Bombyx mori: one gene and its partners. The protein of the gene in region 2 purifies or fractionates together with the protein of the main gene of each other region. This does not show direct contact. Links are inferred from orthologs where the notes say so. Each region holds a gene or a part of one and is shown on either strand. Other genes may lie near its edges.

Region 1 (3,812 bases), on a different chromosome or scaffold from region 2:
AAACGCATTACTGCTTCACGGCAGAACTAATGCTGGTACCTACCCGCGCGGACTCACAAGAGACCCTACCACCAGTAATTACGCAAATTATAATTTTGCGGGTTTGATTTTTATTACACGATGTTATACCTCCACCTTGGGAGTCAATCGTGAACATTTGTTGAGTACGTATTTCATTAGTAAAATTGGTACCCGCCTGGGATTCGAAACACCGGTGCATCGCTCAACACGAATGCACCGGATGTCTTATCCTATAAGCCAAGACGATGTTAGCTGTGAGTGTTTTGAGTTAATAATATAAATAAGGTTCAAAAATCATTTATTTCAACTTAGATGTCAGTATAACATAGATTTTCACGAACCATATCGTAGCACTAACAATAATCAGTAATTAATTATGTAGATAAAATATATTATTATGGCTAGTAAGATTTTACGAAAATAAGTGAGAATATTTTGCATCATCCAAGTCGATTATGATATTTTAGTAGATGAAATAATAGAGGAAAAACAAATACTGGTGGTAGTGGTGGTGGTACCCTCTTCCTTACTAACGTTTTTTCCGTGGTAGGGAGACGAGCACACGTTCCACCTGGTAAGTAGTCAAAGTAGTAAAGTGGAAAGCCAGCAACGCCATTGCTTACTGCAACAATATTTTTTAATTATTTAGACGAGTGAGAGACGAGACAAAGTCCAGGCCCATCTGGTATTAAGTGGTCACTAGAGCCCATAGACATTTTTTGATTCAATTTTTCCTTATTAGGAAAGGCAAGGGGATCTAAACCCATACAGCCTTGTGTGTTGTATATAATTTCTAAAATGAATTTTCAAAAAAGCCGAAGCCAGGTCTTATATGATTTATATTATATCCTGAAATAAAAAAATCATTAAGGCAGAAGCCAAGTCCTTTATAATTTCTTTCTGAAATAAAACCCAGAGACATCGTAACCTTAATGCCACTATCGATCCCTAGATATGAGTTTTAAGTCTCAGTATTAAAGTACAACAGCTGCCCCATCCTTCATACAGAAATGCATTACTGCTTCGTGACAGAATAATTGAATAGGCAGAGTACTGGTATTTGCTTGTGCTGGCTCACACCACCAATGAATGATCTACAGTAAATCCACATTAGTTCCAGTAGTACCAGTCGACAACGCAAATATTTTTATTATTCTTGGTTTACAAGGTCCTCGCACCTAAGGGGCACGTGGAGAAAAGCTTACCTGAGATCAAAATGTAAATAGCCCAACGTGGGTCTCGAATGACGACTCTGAGATTATGAGTCTCATGCTCTGACTGAGTTATCCGGGATTTTACAAAGGGAATGTCACATCTCAACAATTTAAATAAAAATTGATTTCGTTGCGTTGTACGTTTCATGGAAGAAATGTCACCCTCTATTACGAAATGATTAAGCTCTATAAACTTTGTTTCTTTTACTTAATTAATCAAAGAACGAACAAAAAAACATTTGCACTTTTGTATAATCTATGATTTCACTACGCGATTAAAAAAAAGATCATAACCATAGATTATACACCTAATTTATTTGAGAATCTTATCTTCGCTAGAAGTAATAGTGTTCTGTGATCTTAACTTATGTACATAACAAATAACAAACTGTAACTGGAATTAATAAACAACACAGTTCAACACACTATTATAAGACAGTTTACAATTAAAGACACGTTTTAGCTGTGACGAAAATAATCTAACCGAACTTTAAGTTGTAGTTCAAGTTAAATTGTAAATTCTAACCTCTACTACATTATGAATTTGGAAGAAAAAATAAAAGAAATAGGTTCAATATGTATTCCTGGAATGCGACTGAGTTTATCAAACAAAGACAACGTATCAGGGCCGGGAACCTATGAATTGAAAGGATATATTTATGCGGCTTTAGCTGGAATCTTGAAAACAGAAGAGGATGAAAACACCAAAGTAAATAACGTTACAGTCTTTGTATAAGCTGCCACTGATTGCTAAAACGATTTTATTGCAACCGTCATCCGTGCCTCTTTAATTGTGACTTAAAATGCCCATAAATATGCTCTGCAAAACACTACATTACCATGGACGAAGATAGGTACTGTAGCTTAACAGGTATATCATATGGAATTTACTGCCTGTAGAAGACACTTATGGACACTCGGTTTTATGGTCTTTAGTTTAGGCTTGCTCACTATTTCAAGCAGACGCTTCTTTTAGCAGCAGAATATTTTTTTATGCAATAGCAGATGAAATTCTAAATTCACCCCAGAATTCTATTTCAACAAAATAGAAAATGAAACAAATGAAAAAACCTATAAATTAAACTAATGATTGAAAATTTTTTAGGCTAATATAATTTCAGTAGAAAGTTCAAGAACACCAAGTGTTTTACCCAACACAGGTGACATAGTAACCGCAAAAGTAACAGTTGTAAATCCAAGAACTGTACAATGCCTAATCCTCTGTGTTGGCCCTTCAGTACTTGTTAGAATGTACAAAGGAATATTAAAAAAAGAAGATATAAAGGCAACAGAGAAAGACAGAGTTGATCCATATAAATGTTTTAGACCTGGAGATATTATACTAGCTAGAGTTGTATCCTTTACAATATTATAAACTTGTTAGTATTCAAAAAACCTTTTCACTTTTAATAATGACTTACTCTTTGTTTGTATTTGACTCATTAGATGGGTCTTTACATTATGTACTAACCTTATAGTTTGCCTACCACATGAAACACTTGAGCATTGTGGGATTTTGGAGTCACATTTGCTTAGAAATTATGATTATACTGCAAAATAGAATGCAGTTTTGGTTTTGTATAACATCAAACTCTATGTCTACTCAAGCTTGAAAAATACATCTATTATATTCACTGAATATTAAATAATATATAATCATTTTCCTAAACTGGAATTCAGTTACCAATGACGGAAATCCACTGGTACCAATTATCGACTGCAGAAAATGAACTGGGAGTTGTTATCGCTACAGCTGAAGGATCACCGCAAGGGGTCAGCATGGTACCAATAAGCTGGTCAGAGATGCAGTGCCCTAAAACTCTAGTCAAAGAACCAAGGAAAGTTGCTAGAGTTATACCGGAAAATATTAATCAATCACTCTTTCCAGTTCATTCAAAGCAAGACAATCATCACACTGATAAATAATTTTTATTTCAATTACAGACATGTTTTATTTTATTAAATTTTAGGCAAACAATGTATTCATAAAAAATTATATTAACTCTAATCTATTTCTGAAACTTGGAATGTTGATTATGAGAGTAAAACTATTACCAAAGTCAAGGGTTAAAAATTTTTGCTGACTGTTGAATACTCGCAAACTCTGGGTATTAATTTGGCTGTAACCAAGCACATTGGTTTTAGTCTAAGGTAGTACCCCTGAACACCAGCTGTACCGCTTCGGCGGCCTTGTTAACATATTCGTTTTTCTGGGTTACTCCCACGGACTGCATTCTTCAAGCAGCAACAAAACATAATAACTAAAAGTTTAAGTGTACTTTTTTCACCTTGAAGGATTGACATCATGTAATAAAAATCAAACCTGTAAAAATTTTAATTTCCATAATAATTGGTTTTCATTTCCATTGGCTTATTTTTTCCTGAAGCGTTAGGTAATGAGTTACAGTTGTACAGACTGTAAGGACACATGTCTTAAGAAAGGACGGCAGTTGATAATATCTGTAGTAGTGGTGGGCAAATATTTTTAATGGCGGGCCACAAAGTTTAAGAAATTCTAGAGGAGGTCCAGAATTATAGAAAAATGCATTTTGTATTAAAGCATTTTAATAATCAAAA
Region 2 (3,276 bases):
AACAATTGTCTTACCGTTCAAATCGCAACGTATTACTGCTTCATCAAAGGTTAGCAATGCGGTGGTACCCACCACAAAACGCTGTACGACTATAGCTGCTTTCAGACTACGCTATACTTATAGTACCATATAGTACAGCAGCCTTTACTTGTCCATAACAATATATGGTGTGCGATATTGTTCTGCTATGAACTACATATATACTATATGCTTTTTAATACGCTTTTTATTAGCTTCAGACGTATGTATGTTTGTAACGGAATCTTTGAACATGATTTTGATCCCCTTCAAAACGTCGGATTAACTTGAAATTTGATATACTATTAAGGGCCGATGACAATACAAAATAAAAAAAAATTGAAAATTTTTAAATTCAACTAAAAACTGAAAAATAAATAATAGTTTAAAAAAACTATATTAACAAAATACGCTTTTATAGAAAATCCCACTAAAAAATAGGAAAATAAACTTTAATAAATTTGAATTAAAAATAATGTAAGAAAAAATGAGTTTTATTGTAAAAAAGCGTGGGGTGCATGGTATCAGTAGTTATAAATATTTTATGAACAGATATTAGTAGAAGGGTTATTTTGATAATATCCTAAAAAGCACTTCACGCTTTTTTTTTACAATAAAATCATTTTTTTTTGCACTATTTTTAATTCAAATTTATTGAAATTTATATTCTATTTTTTAGTTTTTTATTTATTATAGCGTAGTTTGAACGCGGCTTAATTAAAAACTGCAAACTTTTCAGGGCTTCGAAATCGACGTGTCAACGAACAAATCGTTTTCGAAATCGCTGAACGAGGCCGTGATACCGGAGCGGCCGTTCTTCAACACGCTGCTGCGCATAATGGCGACGCGCTGCATGCAGCAGGCCGCGTACTTCGTGAGCGGGAGCCTCGCCGCCGACCACTACTACCACTACGGACTGGCCTGTCCCATCTACACGCACTTCACCTCGCCCATACGGAGGTACGTAGCGGCTCTTGCCTTTAACACGTAGACTGCCGTGTAGGTCACCGGTGCCCTACGCGGCGCACTGAAGTTTTTTTTTATTGCTTTCATGAGCGGACGAGCTCACAGCCCACCTAGTGTTACGGCGTCAATGCGCCACCCACCTTGAGATATAAGTTCTAAGGCCTCAAGTATAGTTATAGCGGCTGGCCCACCCTTCAAACCGAAACGCATTGCTGCTTCACGGCAGAAATAGGGACCTACCCGCGCGGACTCACAAGAGGTCCTGCCACCAGTAAAATGTCGATTTCTCTCTTCGATTTTCTTATTAAGGCGCCGGAATATCTAATAGAACCTGAGAAAGACGAACCCGAACAATACTGAGAATGTATCGATTTCTAACAGACATATAAGACTAAAACGTAAATTAAGAGACAAATAAAAGCTAAGTTAGGTAATTCAGGTGCTTTAGTGACAGAAATCGACATTATTACTTCAGTGCACCGCTTAGGGCACCGGTGACCTACATGGCAACGACAACTTCAACCGTGGTGGGGAGGACCCTAAATCGTACCCTAAATCACCTCGTGTGGCATACGCACATTCGCCTTTCGCACCAACATGTCTATTCTGAGAGAGCTTCATATCAAAAGTAGACTTTCCACTATATGCTTTCGTACGGTGTTGGATTTCTTCGGACATATTGCTCGTAAAGAGGGTCACAATCTAGAATAGCAGATGGTGACAGGAAAGGTAGATGGCAAACGTCCCAGAGGACGCAGTCCCACGAGATGGTCGGACCAAATATGATCTTCTCTAAACATCAACTTCTACAATGCGCCCTTCATGAAGCTAAGGATCGCGGCAGATAGAGGAAAATCGTACGGGAGAAATTGATGCAGCGGGGGAATCACGACCCTCAGTAATCAGGAAACCTCAGGACCCTCAGGAAAACCACGCGAGGAGGTATAGGCAAATTGTAATTCGATTTGTATTGTTTACCCTAAACTCTAATGTCGCTTCGGGCGAGCTCAAGATTTAGGGACGATTATCCCCACCATCGCTGTCCCAATATCGCCACTGATTTTAGGGTCGTTTGTGGGCCGCATAAGTTGATAAAAATGTGTATGGTTAAGTATTCTGTCCGGGCGCGGTGTGCAGGTACGCGGACGTGGTGGTGCACCGGCTGCTGGCGGCGAGCGTGGCGGGGGCGGGCCCGCACGCCGCGCTGCTGGACGCGCGCCGCCAGGCCGCGCTCGCCGACACACTCAACTACCGGCACCGCCACGCGCAGCTCGCCGGCCGCGCCTCCGTGGCGCTCAACACTCACGTGCGTACACTCACGCCAACCACGATACCGATTCACTATCGAACAATACGATAATTCAGGCCGCGAATACAAAGTCACGATACGATACTGATTCACTGTCGAACAATACGATAATTCAGGCCGCGAATACAAAGTCACGATACGATACTGATTCACTATCGAACAATACGATAATTCAGGCCGCGTATACAGTCCCCGGCACGTAACTTGGGAAGAGTAGTTAGATGCATACAAGTCGTTTTTTAGATCTCTTTGGTTGTCAAGCGGGACGCGGGGAATGTCGTAGTACCGTTCCGAGCGCGCGATTGGTGAGTCAGACGACCCTCCACTCCCGCACCGCGTCTACGTTCCGTTCGCTCCCGATTACACTTGCGTGTGACAGTTTTTTGTTGAATTAAGTGCACTATGCGCGACCTAACCCTCACTAAGCCAAAACCTTGCCAACTTACGTGTCGGCAAGTATACAAAGTTATTGCTGAACAACGCATCTACAGATGATTCTAGAAACAATCACTTAAGACGTTAGTAGTAAACCTAGTAGTTTATATAGGTAAGCTTTTTTAATTAAAAATAAACATAAGGAATCAGAATTTAGTAATTTCCTTTAAGATTCCGTGTTCATTATTATATACTAATACTAGCTGACCCGGCAAACGTTGTCTTGCCATATATAAGATTTCTAGAGAATTTCTAGTGTAGAAAAAAAATTACTAACTTATTGGAAGTGTATAAGGATGTGCAATATGAGTGAAAAAGGCCTGGAGCGCTGTGAACGATGAGGGAATGTTGTTTAAAAATAACAAAACACCGAACATTAATTGTTTTAATTTATTAAAAGTAATAATTATATATATATATAATTAATTTATTACATAATATTAATCTCTTAATACTGCAGCGTGAACAATATTTTTTGTTAGCCCGTCTTTAGCTAATACAAACAAACTTGATGATTTACCCACTCGAGAGCATACAACGTATAATTG
Region 3 (4,040 bases), on a different chromosome or scaffold from region 2:
AGACATCTACAACTTAAACGCCGCCACCTACCTTAACATATAAGTTCTAAGGTCTCAGTATGGTTACGACTGCCCCACCCTTCAAACCGGAGCGCATTACTGCTTCACGGCAGAAACAGGCAGGGTGGTGGTACCTACCCATGCGGACTCACAAGAGGTCTTACCACCAGTAATTACGCAAATTATAATTTTGCGGGTTTCATTTTTATTACATGATATTATTCCTTCACCGTGGAAGTCAATCGTGAATATTTGTTAAGTACGTATTTCATTACAAAAATTGGTACCCGCCTGCGGGATTCCAACATCGTTGCATCGCTAGATACGAATGCACCGAACGTCTTATCCTTTAGGCCACGACGATTTCGAAACTCAACCATCCATACAAAACGTAAGCGCAATTGTACACAGATTTACATAGAACGATCAGTTCGCCCTATCCATAGTGAATTGCAATTTACAGAAAACTTTGTGGTATTGAAAAAGCTGTATTTCCTTTATTATTAATATTTTCTAGCTATAATTAAAACACAATAAAGTCACTCTTCTGCAATAATATTTATTCTATGCTGAGTTAAAAATGCTACGTCAAGCATAGCTTCAGGATCCAAGAGTTCCTTTACATTGTCGTATTTGAGACTTTCTTCGAATGCAAACATTATGCTAGTATCATCTAACATCATCTTAGATGCCACAAGTGCCAAAATACAATTTTTCACTCGCGCCATCGTTTCTCTTTCTGATTTCCCAACAGGCTGCAATAAAAATGATATCAGCATCATATTAGCATATGCAACAATTTCATGAGGGCATGAGAACATGCATGAGTTCTATTTTCTTAAAACATGGAAAAACACAAAGTTTAGTGAAAATGATATAATAAATCTTTAACTTGTGTTTATCGTTTATCTTTCTTAACTCCTATTCCCGAACACTGCACACTGATAGCATTAACCCACCTGAATTTCATAATTTTCAATTGCATCCTTATTTCCTTCCATAAGAATATCACTTTTGTGTGGACTAATCCATATATATCCATTATTCCCTATTATGACAGATACTGCACATGGTAAGTTGTGAAAATGATTTTTTCTGCGCTTTATCAATGACGGGAATACTTTTATTAAAGTTCCCTGTGAAAGCTGCAAAAAATAAAGTTTTCGAACAAACTCTTAAATTAATTTTTTTTTAGTATTAGCAAGGAGTAGAAAGTTCAACATTTTGTGATATTAATTATTATTAGAGGACTGTATGAATGATTCTATTTTAAGGTATGAAGGGCTATTTGGTTTAGAGGAAAGTCATGTAATTTAAAAATTGAAAAAAAAACATGACAAAACTTCTCCAGCTATTTCAATGGAGAATACTTAATTGGTGTTCAATTAAAAACAATTAATTGTATAAACTAATACCAAATAAAATTTACCTTTAATTACACAGATAGATGCCATGTAGTAAGCGAAGTGTCACTTAAAACAAATAGCCTTACGCCCCTTGATTTTATTTATTTAAACATATAGGTAGTGAATTAAAGCAGATTTAAGTGTTTGTGTAGACTTGTAATCAATTTGCTAATGAAGCATGTTTAATCTACTCAGAAGGATAAATATCATCTTCACTTTGGAGGATTTCAAAATTTAATGTTGCTACATATTTGAATATTTTTAATTTCCTTATAACATTCTTGTTGAACTTTAGAATAGTCATTTTTTATTGGCTTCATAAAATCTGATTACCTTGCCATATTTCAAACTTCTTGTATGCAATGAGAGCGAACCATCAGAAAATACATTCTGTACTTCAGCGCTTATCAAATCACCTTCCTGTAAATGTTTTCTCATCATCTGCTCATCCTCTTCTGAACGCCTTCTCTGGATTTAAAAAAATATATAAATAGTTATCATTAGATACAAGAAGATTGCTTTATATTATGGAAGTGTGCGTTAATTTACCAATTCTCCGCCAGGTAGATTTACTGAAGAAAGTTGAAGTATTGAATCAAGTCGTGAATTGGTATCAACTTTCCATCTTTTCTGTTGAACTTCCAATACTCTTCCGACTACCACATCGCCTATTTCTCCAACGTAACGACTCTTCAATGGGCGAATGCATATAAGTTTATTTACTTTTTGCATAACCCCAGCAACAGATGCTTTTAGGCAATCATCTTCTGCGTAAGTTCCGTGGCCTCTTAAAGTGCAAAATTATTAAATTTATAGTAATAATAATTCTTAACAATATTGTTTTCGCAAAAAATACCGACCTCATAAAATCTTGTATCCCAGTTATGACTTCGCCAGGAGTGTAAAAACGCGGCGGGTCATTATTTGAGGCAACCGAATGATTTACTCTTTCAGATGCGAGTTTTATAGATACATGACTGACCATTTCTAATGTTTTTTTAAGCTCCCTCTTTGCTAATTGTGAATTGTGTACAACGAACTCATAGACCTATAGTCGGATTTTTTATTAGACGAAGTCAACTGACGTTTACTGTGTTGTCAGGTTTTGATGAAATAAAAATAGTGTTGTGACAAAGTGAACGATTGAAAAAACTCCTGAATTAATGAAATTGCCTCGATTGTCTAGTGAATAGTTAGTGTGCCGAATTGCCGATATCGGGTACGGGGTTCGAATTTTAGGCGTGCTTTGTACAACCAATGAGTTTTCGACGAAATATTATGTTCCTATAGTATCTACCTGCACTGAATACCGAGTGTTTTAAACATTAAGAAAAACATTGCGAGGAAGCTTGTAAGACTGTCCTATTTCCAATACATCATATAGTTGAAATTATAGATGTATAAAATATAACAATTATAGGTATGTAATGAAAATAAAAAAAAGTAATTGTAGTTACATACTACTAGTAACATATATTGGAGCACTTTAATACAATTTTATTGTAAAATATAAATAATATTCTTTTATAGTTTGAAATTAATGATTAACTCTTCACACTCATTGTTCATTCATGTGATTGAACGAGAACTGAACAGATGATAAGGGATGAAATACAATCTCACTAAAATGACGGTTATTTACTGAGATTTTGGCCTTTTTGGACGATCCCGAGAAGTTACGTCCAGCGGCTTGGTTTCATTTTCCCACATTGGTGCACTTTCATAGATATTGAACAGTTAATAAACAACCGTTATTACAGGTTTAAACCTGAAGACACACTAAATAGACAAAATAAAACAAATCACACAATTTCACTCCTCGCATGTAGAATCATTGGTGACAAAAAATGTTTAAAAACAAATACGGCCGTACCAATATGATAATATGATGCGATACCATTGCCTCTCTCTCCTGTATTTGAAAAAGGAAATTACAAAATGTCACCTAAATGAGGCTAAATGTCAACATTGTTAGTAACTGTCAAGCTAACAGCGATTGCAAACATATCTCTACCTTGTTAAATTCCAATATGAGTATTTAGATTATGTTAATTAGAAATTAGAATTTATTTTCTCCTTTAAAATTGCCTAGTTTTTTATTTTACGCAATATTTATAGTTTCGGTTATATGGACTATTTAGACTGAATGCACCTCTATGAGACAGAAAAGTCGTTTATAAGTGTAATGATTTCTTGGCTCACACATAGTTCTTCAAAACTTAAATCTTTAAATAGCTGCTATTGAAGTAGGTTTTCAGATTTTCAGCTCCATAAAATGTCGGCAAACGCTGCACCTATAACAGCTACAGATAGCTTATCGCAAGCTTTAAAAGCGAACATTATACCAAATCAGGAATACTTACTTCAGGTACTACAGGATGTTGAAGTGGCTCAGCTATTTTAAATTTCAGAATAATTACAATATAGTCTACATTCTTCTACAGTTTCCATAAATTGCATACTTAACAGAACTAATTACCATAGTTGCAGCTATTGTATCCAATTCTTTTGACCCATTTGATCTGTTTACATACTACATTCAAAATATTATCAGAACCCATACATACATAGCTTACATATAATAGCAGCCCAAAAAAACATGAGATAAGGTCTTAGTTACAATGCCTACAATGC

The links.
Region 1: the proteins of exosome complex exonuclease RRP44 (region 2) and exosome complex component CSL4 purify together in Drosophila melanogaster (affinity purification with western blotting; 3 studies listed by BioGRID, with this or other methods). This does not show direct contact. The link is inferred for Bombyx mori from reciprocal best matches to the Drosophila melanogaster genes Dis3 and Csl4.
Region 3: the proteins of exosome complex exonuclease RRP44 (region 2) and exosome complex component RRP4 purify together in Drosophila melanogaster (affinity purification with western blotting; 3 studies listed by BioGRID, with this or other methods). This does not show direct contact. The link is inferred for Bombyx mori from reciprocal best matches to the Drosophila melanogaster genes Dis3 and Rrp4.

The regions. Positions count from the first base shown.
Region 1 is NC_085132.1:3,512,691-3,516,502, forward strand, and holds exosome complex component CSL4, read left to right. Parts: upstream 1-1,412; 5' UTR 1,413-1,773; coding exon 1,774-1,944; intron 1,945-2,340; coding exon 2,341-2,589; intron 2,590-2,915; coding exon 2,916-3,161; 3' UTR 3,162-3,176; downstream 3,177-3,812.
Region 2 is NC_085115.1:11,139,577-11,142,852, forward strand, and holds part of exosome complex exonuclease RRP44, read left to right. Parts: intron 1-757; coding exon 758-978; intron 979-2,121; coding exon 2,122-2,290; intron 2,291-3,276.
Region 3 is NC_085121.1:5,598,845-5,602,884, reverse strand, and holds exosome complex component RRP4, read right to left. Parts: upstream 2,528-4,040; 5' UTR 2,392-2,527; coding exon 2,267-2,391; intron 2,194-2,266; coding exon 1,956-2,193; intron 1,875-1,955; coding exon 1,740-1,874; intron 1,146-1,739; coding exon 960-1,145; intron 756-959; coding exon 540-755; 3' UTR 539-539; downstream 1-538. Other genes in the region: mediator of RNA polymerase II transcription subunit 18, read left to right, coding at 3,682-3,774.